Linked DNA regions of Caenorhabditis elegans. The protein of the gene in region 3 interacts with the protein of the main gene of each other region in a biochemical or structural test. Each region holds a gene or a part of one and is shown on either strand. Other genes may lie near its edges. The genes, in order: mpz-1, lin-7, vang-1 and stn-2.

Region 1 (5,016 bases), on a different chromosome or scaffold from region 3:
GAAGTTTCAGTAGAATTGTGTGCATTTTAAGAAAAAAATGTTCTGGAATATTGAAAATGTGTACAGTAAGACTGGCATGATTTTGGTGTACGTAAAGTGTACGTCCGGTTTTCCAGCAATAGTGTACAGTAACCATCCATAACCGAACTCATATCGAAACATAATCTACCAGTTTCGAGCTGATTATCCAAGGTCTCAAATCATCGAGGCGACCAGCTTCTTTTTTTTTCAAAAAAATCTTTACTTAAAATTCACATTTTGAAAACTATCCATTTGTTGGAAAAAAGCAATTCGAAAAATAGGCCAAAAAATCCAAAATTAGGGCAAACCTGAAGGTGACCTCTGCCTGCCTCACGCCGAAAACGCCTACGCATGACTGTTACGCCGACATTAGTTGTAGAGAACAAATTTCTAGGGATAATTGATAAAAGTTCTTTGGGGAATTATTAAACTTGGAGGCGGAATGAAAAGTGCTGACAGCATATAGATATTTTTAAAAAATGTTAAACAAAATACTGTACGACAGAAATGGAAAAAATTGTCATAAATCAGAAAAAACCAGAATCTGGAAGTACACGACGTCTATTTTTCTATTCCTCCCCGGAGTGCGAATGTGATGCATTTGTGTGTGTGTATTTCTCTCCATGTGTGTGTGTGTGTTTGTGGATAATTGAGCTATCGTCTTGCGTTGGAGCAGAAAGACGAAAAGAAGAAGAAGAAGTAGCAGATGAAGAAAAGAAAAGGAGTTGGCGGCGGAGGAGCTGCCGCGGAGTAGACGGACGGAGAGGAAGAGTAGGCGTGCTCTGTGTTGGTGGCTAGTAGCATCTTGAGAAGAAGAAGAAGAAAAGACCAGATTTATCCGATTGATACGGGTGAGAAACTGGTGAGAATCGATGTCCTGTGGAAGCCAGGATTGGTTTTTGAGAAGTTAGTTACATATTGGGTGAGAAGGTTCAGGTGGAAACACCCGTCTTCGCGTTCTACTGAGGCGCGACAGAATGTCACCCGTCACTCGCCTGTAAAATGCCTTCACAAAAAAATGTAGCCAAGCTTAGAGGAATGCGAAAATTCTAATTACTTGGGTGAAGCCTGTAGGTACCGTATGGTAGAAAATAGTATGACAACCCTAAATCAAATCTATTGAATCTTTTGTTGAAAGAAAACAAAAAGATACGGCAACTTATAATATTATTTTCCAAAACTATAAACAATGAAGCAACTGTTCGGAAATATTGTTCTTCCAGAAAGGAAAACGGGAAAGTTTAGGTTTTCTTCCAGATGATGAAAGGTTTCAGGTAAGCTCCCGGAGCCCCGATGCCAAAGCGTTCGGATTGTTATCTCAATAATACGGTCCTTGGTCTCGACACGACAATTTTTTCAAATTCAAAAAGGTATGCGCCTTTAAAAAGTACTGTAAATTCGAACATTTGTTGCTGCGGAATTTTCATCGATTTTTAATACTTTTCTTTCCCATATATACATTGTTACAGGCGTTAAAAAATCGATCTGCAATGAGAAAAGTTTGTGGCTACAGTACACTTTAAAGACGCATACCAGTCTGAAATTAACAAAAAAATTATCGTTCCGAGACCGGGTACCGTATTTTTGGAGTAATGGGGTTATTCAAGTAATGTAGCAAAATGTATTAAAATACATTTGTGACGTCACAAATGTATTTAAATACATGTTTTTATATACTTGAATAAGGTTGTGACGTAATTTTTCTACACTTTTTAATTTTCCGACACTACTTGAATAACCCCATAACAGTTCTGTGTACAGAAAAATCATTATGCTTAAATCAAGTTTCTATTTTTTTTAAGTTTTTCTGTTTTTTTTTATACTTCCGAAAACAAAAGCGAAAAGGTGTTCTAGCGTAGTTCCCAAGAGTCCTTAAATTCATCTTTCTCCTTGTCTACTTCAACTCTTCCGAAACGGATGTAACATTGAGCCGGCTCCGGGACCCCCGCCCTTCTCTATGCACCTTTTTTCCCACCAAACAACGTCCACTTGGCACAATGCTATTTGTATAGGAATCAGGGAAAAGGGCTTTTTCGAAAACTTTTTCGACTTAGTTTACTTTTTTTTCTTTTTTGGGGGTGCATGATGCTTCAAGTCATGATGCACCATGTCTATAATATGAAGAAAAATGAGGCAAGAAAGGAGGGAAAGTGTATTAAAAGAACAACATATGGTAGTGGTACTACACAAAGAAACATTGGAATAAAGATGGGACCAAGGAAAAAAACGAAGAAGAAAAAAGATGAGGAAAAGTATAGAGGAGATGCATAATTAGAAGAAGAAGCAGAAGAAAAGGAAGACGTCTCCTTCTGGACGGGGGGACACCAAAAATGGAGTACAAAATGAAGGGTCTAACTATATTATTGAGACATTGCATTTCCTTCGTTCTATTAAAATATATTTTCCCCCTTTTTTTGCCGCAGCTTTTTATAACCAAACTTATAACCAGCTTTATTTCATCAATTTTAACATACAAATAATTTTAAAAAAACAGCCTAAAAACGAAACTGGCGAAAATTGACTGAAAATGTTCGAATTTCTAGTTTTGCCGCCAATTCCTAACGAGACCCAACGTTTAGGGGCGGGGCGTTTTAATTTGGCAGTGGAGCGCGATCGTGCCCCAAATCAACTGATAAAATGTATGAGAAAGTTTTTCAAACAGTCTCTTATTATCCAATTGCGAATTTTAGCGATTTTCCCCAATAAAATTTGGAGGCTGCGCGAAAAGTGTGCGCGCCTTTAAATTGTACAGTAACCCAGCTGCGGCGTTTTCCATTTTTCTTCGATTTTATTCACTTTTACCAGAAGTTTCAGTTTTGTTTCTGAACAAAAAATATTTTTCTAGCAAGAATGTGTGGAAAAATCCGAGAAATTATCGAAATAACGGGAATCTGCGGGTTATTGTACTTATTAAAGACGCACATCTTTTTTCTCGCTTTCGAATCATTTTTTCTTTTCAGACCTACCTTCTTTCGGCTTCATCTTCAACTGCTATTATATCCTCTGGCTCATCGATCATTCAATGATGTATTCCAGATTCTGAATCACAATTAATTAGCTCGAATTTTAAGAAGATAAAAAAAATTTAAAAATCTGAATTTAAAATATACTAATATGCAGGATCCTGGCCAAGACGTGTTTCGGAATGAATGAATAAAAGCCAAGCGGCATGTGCTCCAAGATATGAAATCTCCAGGGGCCATCTATAAGGCTCCGCCCATGTTTCCTTTTTCTCACTAATCTCATCTTTGTTTCTTTGTTTTTAGAGAGTTCAAAGACTTAAAGACAAGTAGGGTGTAATTTCATTTGAACCCCCTATCGCATTTTCTAACAAGAATAAAATTTGAATTTTCAAAAAAAAAGAAAAAAGTAATCGTAACGTTACTGTGGGGGAATGACCATTCAAATGAATGGTGAGAATAAAAGGGGAAAGGGGTATCGGATAAGAATGGCATACAAGTGATTTCGGGGAAATAATAAAAGTCAAGGAGCAATGGTCACACAAGCCTCGGGGACAGGAAGATGATAATGACGATTTGGGGGGAAAAATACACCTGTGGTAAATGGTAAATCAGTATGATACAAAGGATCTGGTCGTAGTTGTGGATGGTGATTACGGTAGTTTCGGTTGTTGTAATTACAAAAACGAAATGAAAAACTACGGGTGAAAACATGAAAAATGTAAGAGGGAGGGAGCTGAGAGCAAGCAAGAAATAAACCATCAAAATACACCGGTGAGCATCTGGAGGTATGAAGCTCGGAAAAGAGTGAGAACGAATTATTTATCAGTCGGAGGAGAGATTCGAGTTATCAGTTACACGGGTGCGGGGAGTTTCAGATATCGGTGACACGATATGAAGATGTTTTTGAGCGAGGTAGTTCCTTTTCCGAATGAGCAAATCCGGTAGCCTGACGGCGCATCGACGTGTTTCGTCCGAGTATGTTGTGTCGGCCGCCGAGGAACGTTGTCGAGGTGAGGCGAGAACTGAAATAACTAACAGGATATGTTAGATGTAGAGTGTCAATTTGGCATTAACTCATGGGAAAATATGGTCAATGAATGAGGCAACACGCCTTCAAGATCCGGCCGAAAAGAAGATCTACTAAAAGAAGATCTACTAAAAGAATATCTACAATGTGAAGATCTACGGCTTCAGGATCTGGCACCGTGCCAATTAGAAATTTTCGTGGTTTTCTCGAAGAAAAACGTGACAACAAAGGAGCATCATTGTTAAGTTTTTCTTCGATAAAACTACGAGTATTTCTAGTTGACACGGTGCCACATCCTGAAACCGTAGATCTTCAAATTGACTTTTCGGACAGATCTCGAAAACGTGTTGTCTCCGATAAATCTGTGGGGTGCATTGACGTACCGAATTCCTCGCTTTGGCGTCGATTCAGATTCGCTTTGGCATCCAGGCAATCCGCCGACTGACGTCATGTTTGCGAGAGCTGCTGGATCACACGAAACTCTGGGAGACTGCAGAAATGTCGTGTTCTCGTCTGAAATTAGTGAATCAAATACAATTTCAGAAGAAAAAAAAATAAATTTTCTAAAAACGCACTAATTTGTCCCAAGTTATTTCGACTCTGATTTCTGCCAAAGCCCAGCGTGGTGGCAAGTGTGAGTTGAGCATTACTGAACGCTCGTCGCATTCGACTCTGTGACTGTGGTGGTGGCATAAACGACTCATTGTGTGACCATTCCTGTAATAAAAGTTTATATATAAGCATTCAAGTTAGGTGTAACACTGTGGACAATTTTAATTTCTCCACTCATGTATCAAACTTCATTTCTCACGTTTTGTGTAGATCGTTCACTGACCGTAATGTTCATCTGACTGCCGTGTCCATATTGTGGTTTCGCTCCGCAAAGACTGAAATTTTGATTTTTTCTAAAGACTTGAAACCTGAAATAAGCCTACTTTCTAAAGTATCGAGTTGTCATATCCGAAACCATCGCATCGTTGATCTCATTCATATCTGATGGATCCG
Region 2 (5,231 bases), on a different chromosome or scaffold from region 3:
CTAGTCATTGAAAAAAATTGAATTTTCGAACAATATTCACAAAATTTTTTAACTTTCTTTTTTGAAAATCGGGGTTTCTCTGAAAAGCACTACAAATCAAAAGTATACAATTTTTTTGTAAAAAAAACACCGGAAATTAAATGCTTTGAAAAACTTTGAAAAATAGGAAAGTGCCGATTTTTTTCCGAAAAAAAAAACTGGAAAATCGAAATTTCTCGTTTTTCCATTTACAATATTTCTAATTTTCAAAAAAATTGGGCGCCCAAGGACAGACTAACTTTAAGCCTGCTCGCTGCCTTATTCGTCACTTTAATCTCTTGCTCGGTGAGCATCCGATGAGCCTGTCGGGTTACTGTACAAGCCATTAGTCTGCCGATTTTTTGTGTGAGCATTTCGAGAAAATTCTGAAAAAAAAATCTGAAAAAAGTTGAATTTTACATCAAAAAGATAGATTTTCGTGATTTTTGAAACATGGAAAATATTTTTTTAAAAATGCCGAAAAATGAAAAAAAATTATTTTAAAAATTTAGTTATTAAAGATACATGGAGAAAAGCACCTATTTGAAAGAACGTAAGGCAAAGCAAGATTATTAAAGCAATTTTTGGGCAATAATTTGGGGAGAGGGTGAGTGTTGAGATTAACATTGTTTTGGAAATTTGTCTGAAAACGGAAAAAGAGATAATAATGTACATATAGGGATATCTAAAAATCTAGAACAAAGAATAGAAGAGAAGAAGTTAGAAATGAGTATACATGAACTGGAAAAAAATAGAAAAAATAGGGATTTTATGGTGGAAAATGCAAACTTTTCAGCGAAAATTTCAGTTTCAAGAAAAGATCTTTCAATATTGCTACAAAAGTTCTATTTTCTCGGCTAAACTAATCAATGTTTGCAGAAAAATGCGAACTCTTGCAGTAAAACATTGAGGCCACACGAAAAGGGGAGCAGAACGAAAAGGGGATCTGCAAAAAGGGGATCTGCGAAAAGGGGAGATACGAAAAGGGGAGCAACGAAAAGGGGATCTGGCACTGTGCCAAGCGCTATTTTTCTCGAAGAAAACGATACAACGATGCTCCGATGTTACGCGTCGCGTGTTGTTAAGCGTATCTTCTAGAAGAAAATTTCAAAAATCAACGTGCGTTGCGTGAGAAAAATTGCGTTTTGTGCGTTTGGCACAGTGCCAGCTCCCCTTTTCGTTGCTCCCCTTTTCGTATCTCCCCTTTTCGCAGATCCCCTTTTTGCAGATCCCCTTTTTGCAGATCCCCTTTTCGTTTTGCTCCCCTTTTCGTGGGGCCTCAAAACATTTTGATGCAAAAATTTTAGAAATATTGTTTTAATGTCCATTATCTATATTACGGGAGCACATGAATGCGTATTGCACAACATAATTGACGCGCAAAATATCTCGAAGAGAAAACCACAGTAATTTTATAAAGTACTACTGTAGCGCTGGTGTCGATTTACGGACATCATTTGAAAACATAAAAAAGACAACAAAAAAAAAAACGAAAAACCAATTCGAACACAAATTTGTATAAAAAATAAAAATATATTTTTTTGTTTGTTTTTTTGTTGTCTTTTTTTTGTGTTTTCTTTCGATATTTCATCGATTAATAAATGATGTCCGTAAATCGAAACAAGCGCTACAGTAATATTTTAAAGAGTTACTGTAGTTTTCGCTACGAGATATTTTGCGCGTCAATTATGTTGCGCAGTACGCATTCTCGAAATTTAGTGTTCCCGTAACATTTAGTTTTGTTGTGGCTTTTTTCGTATTTTTTCCAAAAATTCTCGAATTCTTGATTTCTACAAATGTTCCGTCTTTTTTATCTTCGTGGATTTGTCGAAGAAGACGGCGTCGGGAGTGTTGGACTCTGCTGAGTGGATCGAATTCTCTGTCTTTCGAATCTCCGCTCCATTTCATCCAGGAGTTTCGGCATATAACGGATCACTAGCTTTACACTTCCGACTGCGGATTTCAGAAGATCAACTGCTTTTTCGTGGCATTCGGCTTCCACGTTCTGAAATTTTTTTAAAGTTATTTTTTTGAATCAAAGTTTTTTTTCTAATTCGAGTTATATTCTTCTACTAATTAAAAGTGTAGTTGTTTTCAATTTTAAAAAATGAGAATAAATTGTTCATTTTTTCGAAAAAAAATATTAAGAAAAATTTATAATGTTCTTTTATATGGAAATCTTCGTAAACCGAAAAATTCTGTCTTTTATTACTGGTTCCTTTACTTTTTTCCGGTTTATTTTCTGAAAAACACTAAAAATCTGAAATCTTCGATAAAAAAACACTTAAATTAAAGTAAGTTTCGTTTTTTGCTTAAAAAAATGAATTTTTAGATTTTTTTTTCATTGAAAAACATTGAAAAATCAATATTTTTCGATGTTTTTTTTCCGAAAAAAACTAAAAAAAAATTGAATTAAACATTTAACCCACCACTCCGTTGACCGCAATAAGTTGATCGCCTCGTTTGAGACCTCCGTGTCTGTCGGCTACGCCACCAGGGATTATTCTGCAATTCAAATCGTTTTTTTTAAATTATAAAATCATTAAATATTTTTATATCTGCACCTGGAGATGTAAATCGGTGAATTTTGCTCCTTGCCGCCCATAACATTGAATCCAAGCCCTTGATCGGTTTTTGGGAGCTCAACGATACGTGGATGCGCGTGGCCTTCGGCTGCAGCAAACGCCGCCACTGTTGCTTTAGCTGTTGCGGCGGCTTTTATCTGAAAAATGTTTAGTGTTTTTTTTTGTTTTCTGTTGTTCAAAAACGGCTCAAAATTATTTCGAAAAATAAAAAAACTACAATTTGAAATTTCGACAACTTTTAATTATCAAGGTTGGCGGCAATTGTCGCTCGGCTTTTTTTTTGCCAAATTCGGCAAATTGCCGATTTGCCATAATTTGCATTTCCGGCAATTTGCCGATTTGCCGAAAATTTTGATTTTCGCCGAACTACCGATTTTCCGGAATTTTTTGTAGGGATTTTCATTATACGGAAACACTTAAAACTGTGCCTTTTTGAATTTTTTAAAATTTAAATTTTGAAAATTCCAAAAAAAATGTGCAAAACCACAATTTGCAGATATGGCGGAAGTATTAATTCGGACAGTTTGCCAATTTGCCGGAATTATCAATTCCGACAATAAGCCGATTTTCCAGGAATTTGAATTCCGGCAATATGCCGATTTGCCGGAAATTTCAATTCCGGCATTTTTGTCAGTTTTATCAAAAAAAACTGAACCTCTGGCGTTGTATCCGCATCAATTGATTCATAAACAGTCTCATAGACCTCTCGGACGGCACCGAAAAATTCGGATTGTAGCACCTGCTGCAGCGATGCCAATTTTGCATTATTGACCTCTCCAGTCTTCTGAACGTGCTCCATGAGCTCTAGAATACGCTGAACGTCCCGCTCCAAATTCGGACCATCCGGGTTATCCATCTGGAAGATTTGGTTGGAAAGGAGGGGAAAAATAGGACGGAAATAGGTAAAAATGGCAAGAAAACCAATTAAAAATTACAAAATTAAGCTATCCAGAGCGGAAAAACATTATTTACTATTCTAATTGACCATAGCCCGTCAGAAAATTATTAAACACAACAAAACCAAAAAAAAAATCGACAAAAAATTAAATTTAAATTTCATGTCGCAGCGTGTGCTTCTGAGACAATTCCAGCGGAATCACATTGAACGTCATTTTGTACAAATCCACGTCTTTCCTATACTCGTATCCCTTCATCTCCTCAATTTCATAGTCCGGATCGCATTTTTCCTGGGAGATACGAACGATTCCGTCGCAATGGGCACGCAGAAGACGTTCTCCGCGATCGTTTTCATAGTAAACCTGAATAACTTCTCAATAATCAAAGATATTTGATAATAAATCTTACATTTAACCCTGGATGATAATTCATTTTGAATTGATTCACCAGCAAATCGTCTTTTCGCACAACTTCTCCGTCTTTCCGGAAAATTCCACGGAACGGGAGATTCTTTGGTGGTCGTAGAAGTCCGCGAATTTGTTGAAAACTACCGGTGAATCCCTTGAGGCCCATCTGAATATTTAAATTTGAATTTAGATAATTTTAATTGTTAAATTATAATTTTGAGTTGCATTGCATCACTAGAAAGATATTTTATTGAAAATTAACGTTTTTCAGCATTATTTAATGCTTTTTAACGATTTAAACAATTTTCTCATTTAATTTATTGATAAAATATTGAGAAATGTTTAATTTTAAGCATAAAATGAATAAATCCTGCTCCGGAAAGTCCGATAAATGCTTAATTGTTTTGGAGACTACGGTCAACATTTTTTGTACGCAGTACGCAACGTGTACTGCAGACCGTAGTCGAGAAAACCTGCGCATCTAACTGTCTTCCTCGCGCCAATTTTGTTTCGAAATTTCTTTTTTGGCTGTTTTTCGTGTTACTTTTTGCCGGATTTTTGCCGTTTTTATATGATAGAAATATTATGTTTTGTGTCAAAATAGGTAAATTTTCCATATAAAACCTGATGATTCAAAAAATTTTGTGAATTTGAAGTCCAAAAATGTGGAATTTCAAGCCGACACTCACGAAAAATTTTCACATTGTGCATACGTTATAGTTTTTAGAATACAGAAAAAAACAATATAGTATTTCTGAGTGTCGCATTTTTGAGTGGTTTGTATATTAGTATATTTTCTTGCAATTTAAATGTAATTTTCGAACTTTTTTTTCGAGATTGGAACATATTTTTACCTTCTGCAAAAATATTCTGTTCTTTTTACGTTTCCCGAACTTAATAATTGTTTTTCAGAACCAATCCAAACAATCCGCAGCAATGGGAAAGCGAAAGTCGAAGAGAAAGGCTCCAACCAAGGCAAAGGCTGTAATGCCACTCGACACCCAATTCAACTGTCCGTTTTGCAATCATGAACGCGTTTGTGAAGTGAAAATGTACTTTCTAAGGAAAATCGTTTCAAAAAAAAACGTAATAATTTTCCAGGGATCGCGAAAAGAATGTCGGTTATATCTCGTGTCGTGTCTGCTCTGAAGACTTCCAAACAAACATCAACTACCTCTCCGAGCCAATCGACGTCTATTCTGATTGGGTGGATGCCTGTGAGCAGGCAAATAACGCCTGAATATTCCCCATCCGTCAATCTTAAATTCTTATACGACCTCCTTATAAGCCTCCAAAATCCCCATCGCGTTGATCTCTTTGCTTT
Region 3 (7,212 bases):
GACGCGACGTCGGATAGGAATGCAAAACACTGATTTCCGTCCGATTCTTCATTTGCGCGGAGAAGATGATTGGGTAAGTCAATACTTTTCAATTTTTTAGATTTGAATCGGTTTTCACCAATACTGTTTTCAGCAAAAACAAATCAATGACAACTTCTCGCCCAACCAGTTCATGGATGAGAACGGTATTGTATATGATATGGATCCCACGATCAACGACAGAATTTCCACGTTTTTCAATAGTCAGAGAATCACCAGCAGTAGATTTGGAAGGAAGAAGAGAAGCTTGATGTTCCCGAGACTTTTTGTGTAATCCAACTTAAAACTATCTTGTTCGCATTTTTTTTCATATATCCGTTTCCTTCATTTTTCATAGCGTACTCTCGATTTGACATGTTCTCTCTAGTGATGTGTTACGGGTATTTCCTGATGTACATCTAATCAACATGCTAAGTCAGTCACACTCAAACAAATATACCACCTCTGATCTCATAAAAATGATTTTTCTTTCCATGATGTATTTTTTTTCTTTTTTTAAAATCAAATATACATAATAAATAATCACTTTTTTATTAAGAAAAACTTAAACTTGAATAAATTATTCATATCATATTGAAAAGGTACCAGACCATAAGTCAATGTGAAGAAACTTAAAGAAAAATAAATACTCGAAGAAGTAAGTGACGCAGCGCGATAGAGATGTCAAATGTCAGTCATTATCATCTCGGTCAGATGAGGAACCCGTACATAGAAACAGCATGATGTAGAATAAAAGTTGAAGAAAAGAAGCTAACAGGTAAAAAAAATTTTTTAAAAAACTGATCAAATCAAATGGGCATTTTTTTGGAAGTTTACTTGATGGCATGATGACTAGCCCACAAATCAAACTGCCGACTCATTGCTAATTTTTAAGGAAAACTTTTCATTTCCAGGTTTGGCTTGCTCGGTCAAATTGAAGAACGGAATACTCGAGATGGTGCAAACAAGTTGAACTCCGCAGTCGATATCCTGAAAAAAGGTAATATTAAACGGTTTAGCAAGTCTGAGAAGTAACTGTTTTTTTTTCGAGCGAAGTTTGAGTGAATCTTTTCAAAAATTTTAAAAATTTTGATGGCGGTTTCAAATTTTGCTTGAGATGTACCTAAGTCAACAAAATAGCGTAAGATAACTTACCGAAATTTGCAATATAAAATCATTCAAAGGTACATGGGTTTAGCAGAATAAAATGATAAAAATTTGTTGCCAATCGGCTTTAAATAATGCAGAAATACCAATTTTCGGATTTTATTCGTAATATTTTTTGTTAAAGTGTTTTTGTAATGCTCTTGCAACCCTACCGACCGATCAAGCATTTTTTTTTGAATGCAAAACTACTGGAGGAAATATGGGACATACTACTGCTATGGTGCCAAAAATGCCAAATATAACAGAAAAACGTTTCGAACAAAATTGAATTATTTTTTCAAAAAGTGACAATTACTCAGTTTTGCCACTCATAATGTTGGAAGTAGATTTAAAAAGTTGTTTCTACTATTTTGTTTACTTCAATTTTGTTTTAAACATTTGTGTTCGAACTTTGTAAGTGTCCGAACATGCGAAATTGCTCTACATTTTTTTAATGCTTAGACTTTTCAAAAATTTGGCACTTTGCCAATACGTTGTAAAATTCAAAAAATCTTTAAAAAATTTTGGAGTGTTTAATTATGATATTCGGTCGTTTTAAATGTGTATTTAGCTTCAACATTAACTTTTCAAAATCTTACTGGGTTGTGCGATTTGAGCACTAGATACGTTCCGTGTTGAACTCCAGAGCTCACCGCCTCGTCGCAAATTACCGACCATTTCGATTCCCCGACAATTTCCCGTTGGGGAATACGGTCACTGAAGAAGCGTTGGAGAAATGTTCGATGAGACAACTTGAGTGTTAGGCATCTGAAATTTGAAAGCTTAATCTTTGAATTCTGTTTATTAAAAAAAACGTACCTTTCAATGTGCCTCGTAACTTCTCCTGAAGGATGTCTTGACTGAAGACGAGTAGTTTTTAAATATTTGGTGAGCGGCCGGACAATCCATGTGAATACGTTTTGAGCAGCGGTCAGTGAGTCCATCTGGTTGTTAATTCCAGGCTTTTGGTTCGTTCCGGACTCGGCAGTGTTCTGAACATGGGAGAATGCGTCTTCGGCGGCGGCAATTAGGCGATACCTGTAAAGATTTTATGAGTTTCGAAAAGAGGCCATTTTTAAAAGCTTTGAACCGCCATAATTTTTTTTGAACAATTTTCAGAACTTCTCAATAAAAATTTCCTTAATTTTAGGCCATTTTGTGTCCAAAAAATCATTTCGCTACCTCAACTCTAAAATATAATTCCAACAGTTGTGACAGGGAAAAGTGGACAAAATTTGAAATTATAGCTTTGAAAAAAGTAATATAATATTTAGGAAGTTGAAACAGCCGTTTAAAAAAAGTTTTAAACTTTTTTGAGAAGTTTCATTACAAAATTTGTTCAAAGTATCCAAATCGTTAGTTCTGAATTTGAAAACACTTACTTTCTCTTCTTTAACCGTTTTTCAAAATCAAGTTCTTCCTGCATCACTTCAGCATATCCACCAATCCTTCTTCTCGCCGCGGCTTCCATCAAAGCCCGCGTGTTGACTTCACTAACAGTTTCCTGCCCTCCAAATTGCTCGATATTGTACATCTTGAAGCCTGCGGTGCCTCCTTGCATTCCAGACTGCTTTGCAACCGCCGTCTGTCTGGCGTTGTCAAGGTGAATGTTGAACGAGGAGAATCGAGTTGTGTAGAAACGAAGAATCTCGGTGGCAGCTTCTTGAATTGAGCCAGCGCCAATGTTCAATGTATGCATTTCACCGTCTGGATCGCGAACAATAGTTACAATGAATTGGGCACGTAGACGACGAAGCTCGAGGAGCACAACAGAGAGATAATGTGTCCATAGAAGAGCGTCGAGCAGTGATGTGGAATAGGAAACCTGAAATTATGAATTATGATTTCACAATTTTTTTTCGAAATGATTCATAGTGAAGTCGAACAGTATACCCGCTTCTGAATTTTCGCTACAAATTATGAACTTAAAAAAAATGGTTCAACAAATAAACTGTTGCCTAAAATTTTGTCCACATGATAACACAAGTTTCAACATTTTAAAAGACTAAGTTACAGCGGCCGACACCTCGCGAGCCAATTTTTTTGCCACATCTCATGACTGTAACTCAAGAATGAACAGTTTTCATGAGCAAAGTTTTAGTAACAAATAATCCGCAAATAATTTTATATTGCATGTTATCAATCGTTTTTTCTTACGCAATCGGTAGAATTGAAAATTTCGGTTGAAAATCTGGTCATTTTTTTCAAAAATATTTTTAGGCATTTATTTTAAATAACTAATGTTTACACTTTTATTCACATTTGAACTGAAAGTTTTAGAACAATTTAACCTCCATTTTCAGAAATTGTTCACGATGAGTGCCGGCATTGCTACACCTTTAAAGGGACGTGGCAAAAAAAGGACTTACGAGGTGCCCGATGCTATATCTTTTGATTTCAATGACTTAATTTATTGAAACCTGAGTTATCAAGTAGACAACATTCTAGGTAACAGTTATGTAGTTGAATTTTAATTTTTAGGGTACCTAGCTTGTGCGCTATACTAATTTGAAACTATAAAAAAAGCCAGCAAAAAAATCCCAAAAACGCATATACTTTTGGCCACCACTGTGTTTGAAAAAAAAAACCTACGATGTACTTGTAGTTGTCGTATCTTTCAAACATTATCCTGACAATGTAAAAGAGCCAAAACGCGAACAGGATAAACATGACTAAAAATGTAAGCGCAGCTCGTACAAAGTACAACCTGGGCATGTCTGCCATGGCTTTCCTCCAATAAAGAACTCCAATTGCAATTACCAAAAAGATTGTTTTGATTGCCATTAAAAACAGGAGTCCTTCACAATCGACCTGCAATACATTATATTTTTAATGCGATATAATTGGTTTTCGAAATACTCACGTCACATTGAATTGCCGGCATGCTGAAGCCGAAACGTGGTGCGATTATAGGCAATGAACACATTATCGGCGCACTGACCACCGATATAATGCAAAGTAACGACGAGGCCAACAGCCAGACAAACCTAGAGCACCTGAATTTCAATAGTTATAAAAAGTGAAATTAGAAAAAAAGAACATTTACCGTCTTCCTATGACACGTCCAATTGGTGGGGTATAAATCACTTTTTCTTCCATTGTGAAAGAATCCGTCGTCATTCCAGTGAGCACGGTGGTGTTGTCTGCCCAGTCTTCGTTAGGTGGTGCAATCTTCTGGCCCTGCAAATGAATTATAGATGTACTCAAAAATAGATTTTCCAAAAGTGAAAACGCAAAGCGATAAGATATGTATATCGACTCGGCGTTTATGACATTTTAAATTTTAGATAAGATATTTGGTCGGCTTATATCTTATTTTGACACATCTGAACAAAGAATTTAAGGAGTTTCAGAAACTGAATTAAAAACGAATTTCGTAATAAAACTTCTAAAAAATATTTATGGGAGGTTCAATATTTCGAAAAAAAAGACGAATTTTTTTAAAAAATTCTCAAATTTTGGCCACGTTTCCGTGACACAGCAGTTTTTTTGTTTTTTTTTATTGAATATTTTGGTTGTTTATCTCACGGTATTTCATTTATTTATGTTTTTTAAAAACTTTACCAAATCTCTTCGTTCATCGCCTTTAAAATAATTAAATAAAGTTGAAAACGCAGGATAATTACATTGTATACTCAAAATTTTACGGAAATTTCAAAAAAAAAGATTCCAGCCGCAACGACATTGACGAGTAGGACAAATTTCAAATTTTAACTAATTTCAGGCCTACTTTTTAAGGAACTTTTTAAGCGAATAGATAATCAAAAATTACCTGAATTGGTTACCTACTGGCATAAAAATTGCCTGCTCAAAATGTGAAAAAATTAACCCTTTCTTTAAATTTTAAACCGACTAAAAACATTTTGAACACTGTTGAGAAGTTTCATTACAAAAAAAATGTGTTCATTTTGAGCACATATTGGTACCCAGAGCCGTTACTCCTCATTTAATTGAGTTTCATTTTAAAATGTATCTTCAAAAAAAAGGCTTACCTCACTAGCAATTGCAGAAAACCTCGGTATAAATGGCTCGCCAATTTCAGATTGTGCATATCTTGGTCGTAGTTGCTTCTTGTGTCCTTCATACCGAAAACCTCCAACGCAACTCCTCGTGTCTTTCGGAAGTTTCCTGTTATCTTGATACGACATGTTCCACCTGAAAAAAAAAATCTCTCCAAAAATTTTGATCCATTGAAAAGAATGAGATTTATAACATATTATATTTCATGTAACAAAAAAAATCCGAACGGAACGATAGATTGGCAAAGACAATTTGTGAAAAGAGATAAAACGAGCCCTTCGGGTTGCGCACACGCCGTCATAACATTTTCGTTCCACACACACACACACAACCGCAAGTAAACGATCCATCCACGATCAATGACAAACGAGTGGACGGAAAAGAGGGGACCCCGAAAAGAAAATAACCTCTAACACATTATGCAGCGTCCTCCTCTTTCTCCTTCCACTGCTTGCCCCAGCGCAACCCATTCGGCCAGTGTGTGCGTATGTGTGGTGTGGTCAGAGGCGAGCGGGGAATGGGAAGAGGAATGGTGAGTGAGCGTGCGTGTGTGTGTGTGTGTGTGTCTACTACTATCCGCTAGGCCGCACCAGATGCGGGGCTTTTCGAAAAACGGACCCCCGGACCGGAGCATCTTTCTTGTCACCCCTTGGAGCCGGTTTTCATCTCCCAATGGTCGTCAATTACATGCGACACTCATTGGTGATTTCAAAGAGCGGATTTGGGTAGAAGAAAACCGAAAAGTAAGATTTAGCTGACGGGCTCCTTATTTTGTGACGAAACATGTATCTATTTTAGGTACTTGTGTAATATACCTAGCTCAAAAATATGTTTCAATACGTTTTCCATTCATTTCTTTTAAAAATTACAATTTAAACAAAACGTGAAATTGATTTGTATTCTTAGGTTTAGAAAAACATTAATCCTTATGGACATAGTATAGAACATAATTACGTAAAATTTTCAAAATGATTAATATTTTAAATCCAGGTATACTTTCACAAGTACCGCATTTTAGATAGCTGAGAAAATCATAAAATAAGAAAATATGGCAACCTGGCAAGATATAAAGCTTTAGGACTATTGAAAAAGTTGAATTCTAAACAGCTCGGTACAATAAAATTAGCATCAATCCGTCAAGAGGTGAACGAAAAATGGAAAGACGACAAATCAGGGGTGTGCAGTAACAAAGATGAGTGGGGTGAAAATGGTGTGAGAGGCGAAGGTGTGCGCGCGCAGACACACCACTCCAAAGAACCACAACGGTTACGTAGATAACACAACAGTAGTGCAAATGGTAATTTCATTGGAGCACATTTGCAAGTGTAAGTGAAAATTGGGATCTATGCATCGATTGTTTAGTGTGACAATCGAAAGGTGCTAGAATGCTTCAACCGTAATTTTGTCAACGTTTTGTTGTTCTAATATTTATTTTTTGGTACTTGTGTAGCAGGAGCAAGCGACAAATTTGCCGAATTTGTCAAGTTCACCATTTGCCAAGCTCGGCAAATTTCAAAACAGTATGTTTGGGGAATTTGCCGAGCTCGGCAAATTTCGAAATTTTCCGCACACATCAAAAGTTTGAAAAACAATTTTGACTAAAACTACTGATTTTGACCTCAAAAATTTCAAAAAAATGACACACAAACTCACGGAACTTATGCAGAAACCAGATGTTTTTTCTGAACGCAGTAGTTTTGGTATGGAATAAATTGAAAAAATTCAACAACTCATTTCTAATGTATAACTTTGTTAAATCACAAAGAAACACTTTTTTTTCAAAAATTTTGTTATGTCTCTAATATGAAATATAGCATAAATAGGTATACATTTGTCAGAAGTTTGTATTCAAGAGTAAAAAAAGCCCCTCAGGGAAGGCAAATATCATAGTGAAAAACTCTAAAATGGCGGAATTGAAATTACCGGCAAATGGGCATACCAAAAAACTGCCAATTTGCCAAATTTGCGCGCAACCTCGGCACTTGCCGTAAGTTTTTGGCAAATTGTGGTTTTGCACATTTTTTTTTT
Region 4 (6,399 bases), 4.8 Mb from region 3:
TGGTTGATACTAATTGTGAACGTGAGTATTGCTGCAGTTAATTCAATAGAAACCCAAACGATTTCAGCTGGTAGTCCTTATTAGTGCGTGGATTATATTGCGTGTGAGAATGGTTCCATTCGAGAAATATGAGACGAAGAAGATTGAGCCTTTGAATTAGGCAACTCTTTACTTTGTTATTTCACCTTTGTTTGAGTTTTCGAGTACTGTTGTAAGTGCAATATTACGGCAAACAGAAACCGGTTGATTTTGACTCATCGCGTGTCTTTATCTTGTTATCGATATAATTCTTTGAGAATTAGAATTTATGATTATTGAAATAAAGGATTTTTGAAATTGACAATTTGATTGTGCCAGAAACCTGAAAAAAGTCATATGTTTTCAATGAAATTTTGATTTTTTGCATATGACTCAAAACTGGTCCATAAGTTACAGGTAGACTACGGCATGCAGATTGTTTTTATTTTTAGTTTGAAATAAAAAAATGTTGAAAACCTAGCTTTAACTCATGATTCAAATTTTGTTTTAAACAACAGTTGAACAACAACAAAAAAATATTTATGCTTTGAAAATCAAAAATCATTAGTCCTCTGCATTTCCAACATAACGATTAGCCTTCAAATAGTCTGGATCAGTGGAAACAATTCTGGCAAGAACAAAGGAATGAAGGTTGAATACAACTGTTACCACATCTTCGCATTCGATGTCCTGCAATTTGAGTACTTGACTCGGAAAGTTGCAAAACCACTAACCTTTACTTCTATTCTATCGGAATTCAATGAACGATCATCATTGAACGATAACTGGACACACAGTTTGCCATCATCAGCAACGGCTTGTAAATCTCTGAACCGATATTGCCAAATGTAACTCTAGAAATAAATTGTATCAATATCAATAACAGTTAGAAATAGTATTACCTTAGTAGGAATATCATATAGACTAATTCCCTGTTTAATGTCAAAAACGATTCCACTGGCTCTTCCTTCAAAGTTACAGGCAAACGTTCGGGACTAAAGTTAACTGTTATTGTTGTTGAATAATTTAAATAAACTTGCCTGCATTTGGGAAATGGTATTGTATACGGTTCGGTAATATGCTTGCTCAAAAAGTTCAAATGCAGATACAGCTTCAAATGACAGGTAGTGATTTGGAACTTGCAATGGAGTTTCTATTAAGAAACAATTGTCACGCTTATCTCTTCGTGGACTAGAGTTTGGGACCTGTAGATATCCCTTCTAGAATTACTACTTTTTTTGATAATCTACCTGTTTTACAGCAACATCATAACATTTGTACAAGTAGACACATTTGTTGAGATCTTCAGAGTTTAGCTGGAAAAAAAGAATCATGTAAAATAAGTTCAAAAATTAAAAAAAAAACATACCGGCGGAACATCAAAGAAGCAGACATCACTGCCTTTTAAAATCAAGAAGCGAGGTTGCCAGCGGATTTTAAGCTCTTCTTGATCATCATCATTCAAGTATTCATTCACCCAACCAATGTAGCTGATCTAAAAAACATTAATTTAAACTATTTACTGCAAAAACCGTGCATAATGTTAGTAGATTTACTAGTTGACTATTTTCTTGAATATTCAATTTTCAACAAGATAGTCGGCTTTAAAAACAACAATGTTTCCATCAAGTATCCTAAATCGAGCAGACAAAAGCAAAAATAATTGCCTCAAAATTAGATTAAGCAAAGTTTTATTCTGAATTCGTAATTTCCATTGTATTAGCTTTTAGAAAATACATCATTCGACCCATAATTCTCTGGACACCTAAAACGGCTTCATAGTCAGTAATGTTGGATCATTAATCTGATGTGTGCTGAAAACATTTAATTTTTAATTCCGATGTCGTATTTTTAACAGATGTTTCAAGGCAACCAAACGTGCCTACCAAACATTGAAGTCATATCATTGCATACTGACCTGCTCACTCTGATGCAAGTACTTGTTGCTCATTTTTATACTCTTTTGGTTGAGCGACAATATATGTTTGCTGATGTGCGAGATCCATTGTTCCAGCGCCGATGTATCTTCGCAATGCACAATTCCCGACGATCTTCCATCTACTGCACGAACTTCGAAAGAGTTTGTCCTGTAAAATTTTAGTTTTGTTGAACAAGAAATACAAAAAGCTCCCCGTTGTATGTATTCATTACGAAAATAAAATCTGAAGCAAACCTGATATTGTCGGTTCCCCAGAGGTATCTGGTGACATAAGCCATTGCCAACGGAAGAGACGTCAACGTTTTCCATTTCTTTTCCCGTCCGTCAATATGTTGTTGCCATTTCGAGTCGGAGAGTCGGGATTCGGATTGCGCTTTGTGGCTCTGAAGCAAAAACTCCAAATAATTTCAAAATGGAAGCTTAGGATTTTTTCTTACCCTTGTACTTCTTCCATCAAACAGCTGATCCAATGTTCCATCGGGTTGCAATGACTGTGCTGGTCTGAAAAGTAGTCACTCCAACGTCTCTGGTACCCCGATATAAAATCAAATGCAACTATATACTCTGCGCAAAACATTGTGTGTCCCTCGGCAGTTTGCCTACTGCGCACATTTTTGAATTTCAAATGCAGTGAAAAGCATTCATCAGGGAGGATGGCGTAAGGCTCCGCGTGCTTTGCCTCAAACCACCCCCTGCGCAGAGCTCTTCTACACTCTAATCCATCAGTTGTTTCTACTCATGTTTCTTCGTCCTTTTCCTTCTTTTTCATGCTTCTTTCTTCCACTCTTTTCAACCATACTTTTTTTGTGTGTCCTCTCGCCAAAGTAACGCCACGTCGAAAATCGAAAAAGGAAGCGGGAAATAGGAAGAAAGGCGATGCATGGGACTGACTTGAGTAGCAAATTTTTTTCGCCACAAAACCAAACTCACTTTAGAAACGGCGTCATATGGGTGAAATGGCGGACACCCAAAGTTACTTGGTCACCGCTTGATTTTAACATGTTAACCACTTCGTCGTGGCTTTGACCTGGAAGTTGATATGAAAAAATAGTCTACCGTTTTTTTTCCCTATTAGACTTGTACCATCATGCCCTTGCTTGATTTTGACAGCTTATATCTTAGTTAGTTCTTTTTGGTTTTTTTTTAATTGGCAACTGAAAAAAAATTGATTTGTTATGAAACTTAGGACGGCATATATAACCCATCCAACAGAGAAGGAGCAAGTATAATAGGGAAAGTACAGCATATGACTTGTTTTATTATTCAATACAACTTTGTTTTTTTTTTTTAAATTTTTATGTTAAATTTTTGAACGTGAATTGCCAAAAGTTATTTTGTTGCGGCTTTTATAGGCCCCATGTGAGAAGTGTGGAAAAAATGCATACATTCAAAAATTGATGGTTCCATTTTATTTCTATTATTTAAAAAAAAACTAGTTTAACTTTTTGGTCTTTGCTATGAACGCTCATTCGTTTTCAGTTCCTATTTCCCAGAGGGGAACCAAATGATTGGACTAATGAAGACTACTCGTTCTTTTTCTTCCCTCACCTTCTATGGATATTCCATTTACTTCTACGATAGCATCTCCAATAAATAGCTCTCCACATTCGTCGGCTGTAATTTAAGTATTTTTCTAGATGTTAAAATTTTAAATCTGACGATTTACCTGGCAATCCTTTGAATATTTTGGAGATTACTATTGGCATGTTTTGTGCATTTTCTGATCCTCCCTGCAATAGTTCTAAGTATTACACCGGTCCTGTTCAATTGCTCACTTTAATAGACAATCCGAACCCCGAGTCTGGTTTTTTAACTATGACAACTTGCCGAGTTGCATTTTCTAGAAATGTTTCTTTGGCTTCTTCGGGCTCCGCGGTACCATCGTCAATGACTTGAATACATAACTCATCTGCAAGAATATGTTACGATATTTCTTTTTTTGGATGACTTTTTATATAGTTTTCATGCCATTTTCATGTCATTTCTACCAAATTTTTTTTGGAGTTTTAAAAGCGCAAAGGAAGCGCAAGACAAAAACGAAGATGCGGGACCCTGACAGCTTTTTCCTCTTTTCTCAACAACTCAATTGTAGGCTAGGCACCAATTTCCGCGCCATGAGCTGCCTAATAAAGTTTTCACACGACTAGTTGAGGCCGTCATTGCACACTTTTCTTTTATTTTCGTTTTTCTCCCCCATTTCTCCTCGTTTTTCAGGCCCTTCTCGCTTTCGCAAATTGTGCGGCTTTTATAGGCCCCATGTGAGAAGTGTGGAAAAAATGCATACATTCAAAAATTGATGGTTCCATTTTATTTCTATTTCAAGTTCCATTTTAATTTCCTCTTACCTTTGGATAAAAGCAGTCGTGACGATCTAGAAGTGGCATTCCCATCACTAATGAGTACTATTCCATGATGAACCTGAAATTTTTTGTTGGAATTTGTTTCATTTAACATATTGTCAAGTCTTGTATTTCATAAGACTTCAGATTGCTGGCATGTACTATACAAAAATTAAACATGCCCATTAAAAACCAACAATTTCATAATATTTGCTAAACTTACCACATCCAGATTATGGTGTGATTTCGTAACGGACATTTAGCCTTGTTTAACAGAGAATATAAAATGTAGCAAAAATGAAGGACAATGAACTAGAGGGACTAAAGATGCGTGTGTGTGTGCCACCTCACACGAGTCAACTTTGAAGCGCCCGAGCTCCAATCTATCCTATCTGCTCATCGGAAGCGGTGTAATACACACATTACAACAGCAAAAGATGCGGAATCATAGACGAACAGCAAAAACGAGCAGTTGAAGGAAGTGAGAAACAAGATGATAAACAGCTGGTTTGAATTTTTAATATCAGAAACGAGTCATCCAATATTTTTAACATCCAACAAAGTTTTGATCATAGTCTGAAAACTGATTAAAAGATATAAAATAAGAGCTGAAATTCTGGAACTGTTGCCAAAGAGATTGCCGGAAAGGCAACCATCATTTTTCTCAATTTCTTCGCGTGCTGCTTTCTGACTGATAAAATTTTCTACACATTGTTCACAGTCACAAAGTTTTCTGTACTCTTATCATTAAGCAGCGACCATTGCTCACCCATCTCCGTTGTGGTCTAGTGGTTAGGATTTATGGCTCTCACCCATAAGGCCGGGGTTCGATTCCCCGCAACGGAATACCTTTTTGAGGAGTGACTTTTGATAAAAATTTTAACATCCCTGTTTTTTCTCCATTTGTTTATTCATATTCAACAGTTAGTGATTTTCCAAACTAATTGAAACTTTCACTGAAATCTTTTCCACATTTCTGCATGTTGTTTCCTGCAAACTAATTGATGAATATAATCAATCATTTTGACGAATTGCCGTTTTCTACTCTTATTGTCCTTTTTCCCCATTAAAACAATGGGAAAACACGCATTTTAGCGCCGTGACCCTACACTGTGTCTTCACTTCGAATGTCAATGAGCCATTGAGCTTCAATTGAGAAATGCCGTTTTGAAGATACAAAGACACATCGTTTCGCTTTCCATATTTCGAATGATGGACGATTTTCGGCGGCGCAAACACATATGAAAATGTTCCGCAACTGGCAAAAAAGAAAGGCAACGGAATATATTTCACAATCGTTGTTGTGCAAACGAGGCTGACTTTTTTGCCTTTAGTCAACTGAGTCATCAAGAGAGACTAAAATTGTGATTTTTTCTTTGAGTACATATGTGTGATCACATTTTCTCTGCTTGAAACAAACCACAAAGTGTTTTGTAGCTCTTCTTGTTATATAAATTAAAAACGGAGTACCTTCAGTAGGAAAACTGTTTAAACCCGCTCATATAGTGTCAAAAATTAAACGACAAAATACATGAACTTTAATTTTAAAAATTAGATATATATAACTGTTTTCAAAGTACGCACGTATTTTGTTATTTATTAAACCTTGTTGTGAATCATAACACCTTTTTAATTTATCAGAAATGGAAATGTTCGAAATCCTTTTGCATTTTTATTCTTGGAAAACCACTTAAACTTGAAGAGGAACACGTGTATCACGTATTATTAATATGGAAAATTTGATGGAAAAATTAGTTTATTTTTTAAAATGTGAGATTATAAAACCTAAATACCGATTATTAAATAAGTAATCTCCCATTTTCATTGAAATAGTTATATGCTGGTCTCTATTGCACTCCATTGCGCGTCATTTCCAGCGCATAGTACGCAGTACAGTCCCCGTGGTGTCTACGGTCCTAATCCCTAATGTGTCTATGTATCGACTGTTCCTTGTTGATGATATCAATTGTTATTTTTAAATTTTGTCAACAAGGTATTTTATCATTGGAAAATCTAAACATAACTTTTTCAGAAAAATTGGTTATGTGGTCTTTGAAGAAAAAAAACTAATTAAATTTACTCAAAGAAAACTAATAAGTTTTC

What was found.
Region 1: the proteins of vang-1 (region 3) and mpz-1 form a complex in vitro, tested with the Caenorhabditis elegans proteins (one study listed by BioGRID).
Region 2: the proteins of vang-1 (region 3) and lin-7 form a complex in vitro, tested with the Caenorhabditis elegans proteins (one study listed by BioGRID).
Region 4: the proteins of vang-1 (region 3) and stn-2 form a complex in vitro, tested with the Caenorhabditis elegans proteins (one study listed by BioGRID).

Annotation. Positions count from the first base shown.
Region 1 is NC_003280.10:10,775,087-10,780,102, forward strand, and holds the start of mpz-1 (PDZ domain-containing protein), read right to left. Parts: upstream 3,041-5,016; coding exon 2,988-3,040; intron 1-2,987. Other genes in the region: ect-2 (Protein ECT2), read right to left, coding at 3,856-4,006, 4,395-4,524, 4,587-4,728, 4,823-4,898, 4,947-5,016.
Region 2 is NC_003280.10:14,345,334-14,350,564, forward strand, and holds lin-7 (Protein lin-7 homolog), read right to left. Parts: upstream 3,460-5,231; coding exon 3,259-3,459; intron 2,741-3,258; coding exon 2,583-2,740; intron 2,524-2,582; coding exon 2,448-2,523; intron 2,024-2,447; coding exon 1,829-2,023; 3' UTR 511-1,828; downstream 1-510. Other genes in the region: Y54G11A.9 (Core domain-containing protein), read right to left, coding at 279-392; Y54G11A.17 (L51_S25_CI-B8 domain-containing protein), read right to left, coding at 3,653-3,862, 3,909-4,073; elof-1 (Transcription elongation factor 1 homolog), read left to right, coding at 4,844-4,959, 5,009-5,147.
Region 3 is NC_003284.9:2,883,972-2,891,183, reverse strand, and holds vang-1 (Vang-like protein), read right to left. Parts: upstream 5,327-7,212; 5' UTR 5,313-5,326; coding exon 5,157-5,312; intron 4,345-5,156; coding exon 4,211-4,344; intron 4,161-4,210; coding exon 4,028-4,160; intron 3,976-4,027; coding exon 3,757-3,975; intron 2,990-3,756; coding exon 2,547-2,989; intron 2,203-2,546; coding exon 1,984-2,202; intron 1,933-1,983; coding exon 1,764-1,932; intron 1,009-1,763; coding exon 883-1,008; 3' UTR 503-882; downstream 1-502. Other genes in the region: B0410.3 (Neuropeptide-Like Protein), read left to right, coding at 1-73, 134-313.
Region 4 is NC_003284.9:7,675,970-7,682,368, forward strand, and holds stn-2 (PDZ domain-containing protein), read right to left. Parts: upstream 4,651-6,399; 5' UTR 4,556-4,650; coding exon 4,520-4,555; intron 4,376-4,519; coding exon 4,303-4,375; intron 3,867-4,302; coding exon 3,733-3,866; intron 3,688-3,732; coding exon 3,624-3,687; intron 3,572-3,623; coding exon 3,506-3,571; intron 2,985-3,505; coding exon 2,888-2,984; intron 2,459-2,887; coding exon 2,395-2,458; intron 2,341-2,394; coding exon 2,192-2,340; intron 2,106-2,191; coding exon 1,937-2,105; intron 1,514-1,936; coding exon 1,388-1,513; intron 1,335-1,387; coding exon 1,269-1,334; intron 1,224-1,268; coding exon 1,059-1,223; intron 1,014-1,058; coding exon 921-1,013; intron 873-920; coding exon 753-872; intron 709-752; coding exon 583-708; 3' UTR 542-582; downstream 1-541. Other genes in the region: mfsd-8.5 (Major facilitator superfamily (MFS) profile domain-containing protein), read left to right, coding at 1-21, 68-160.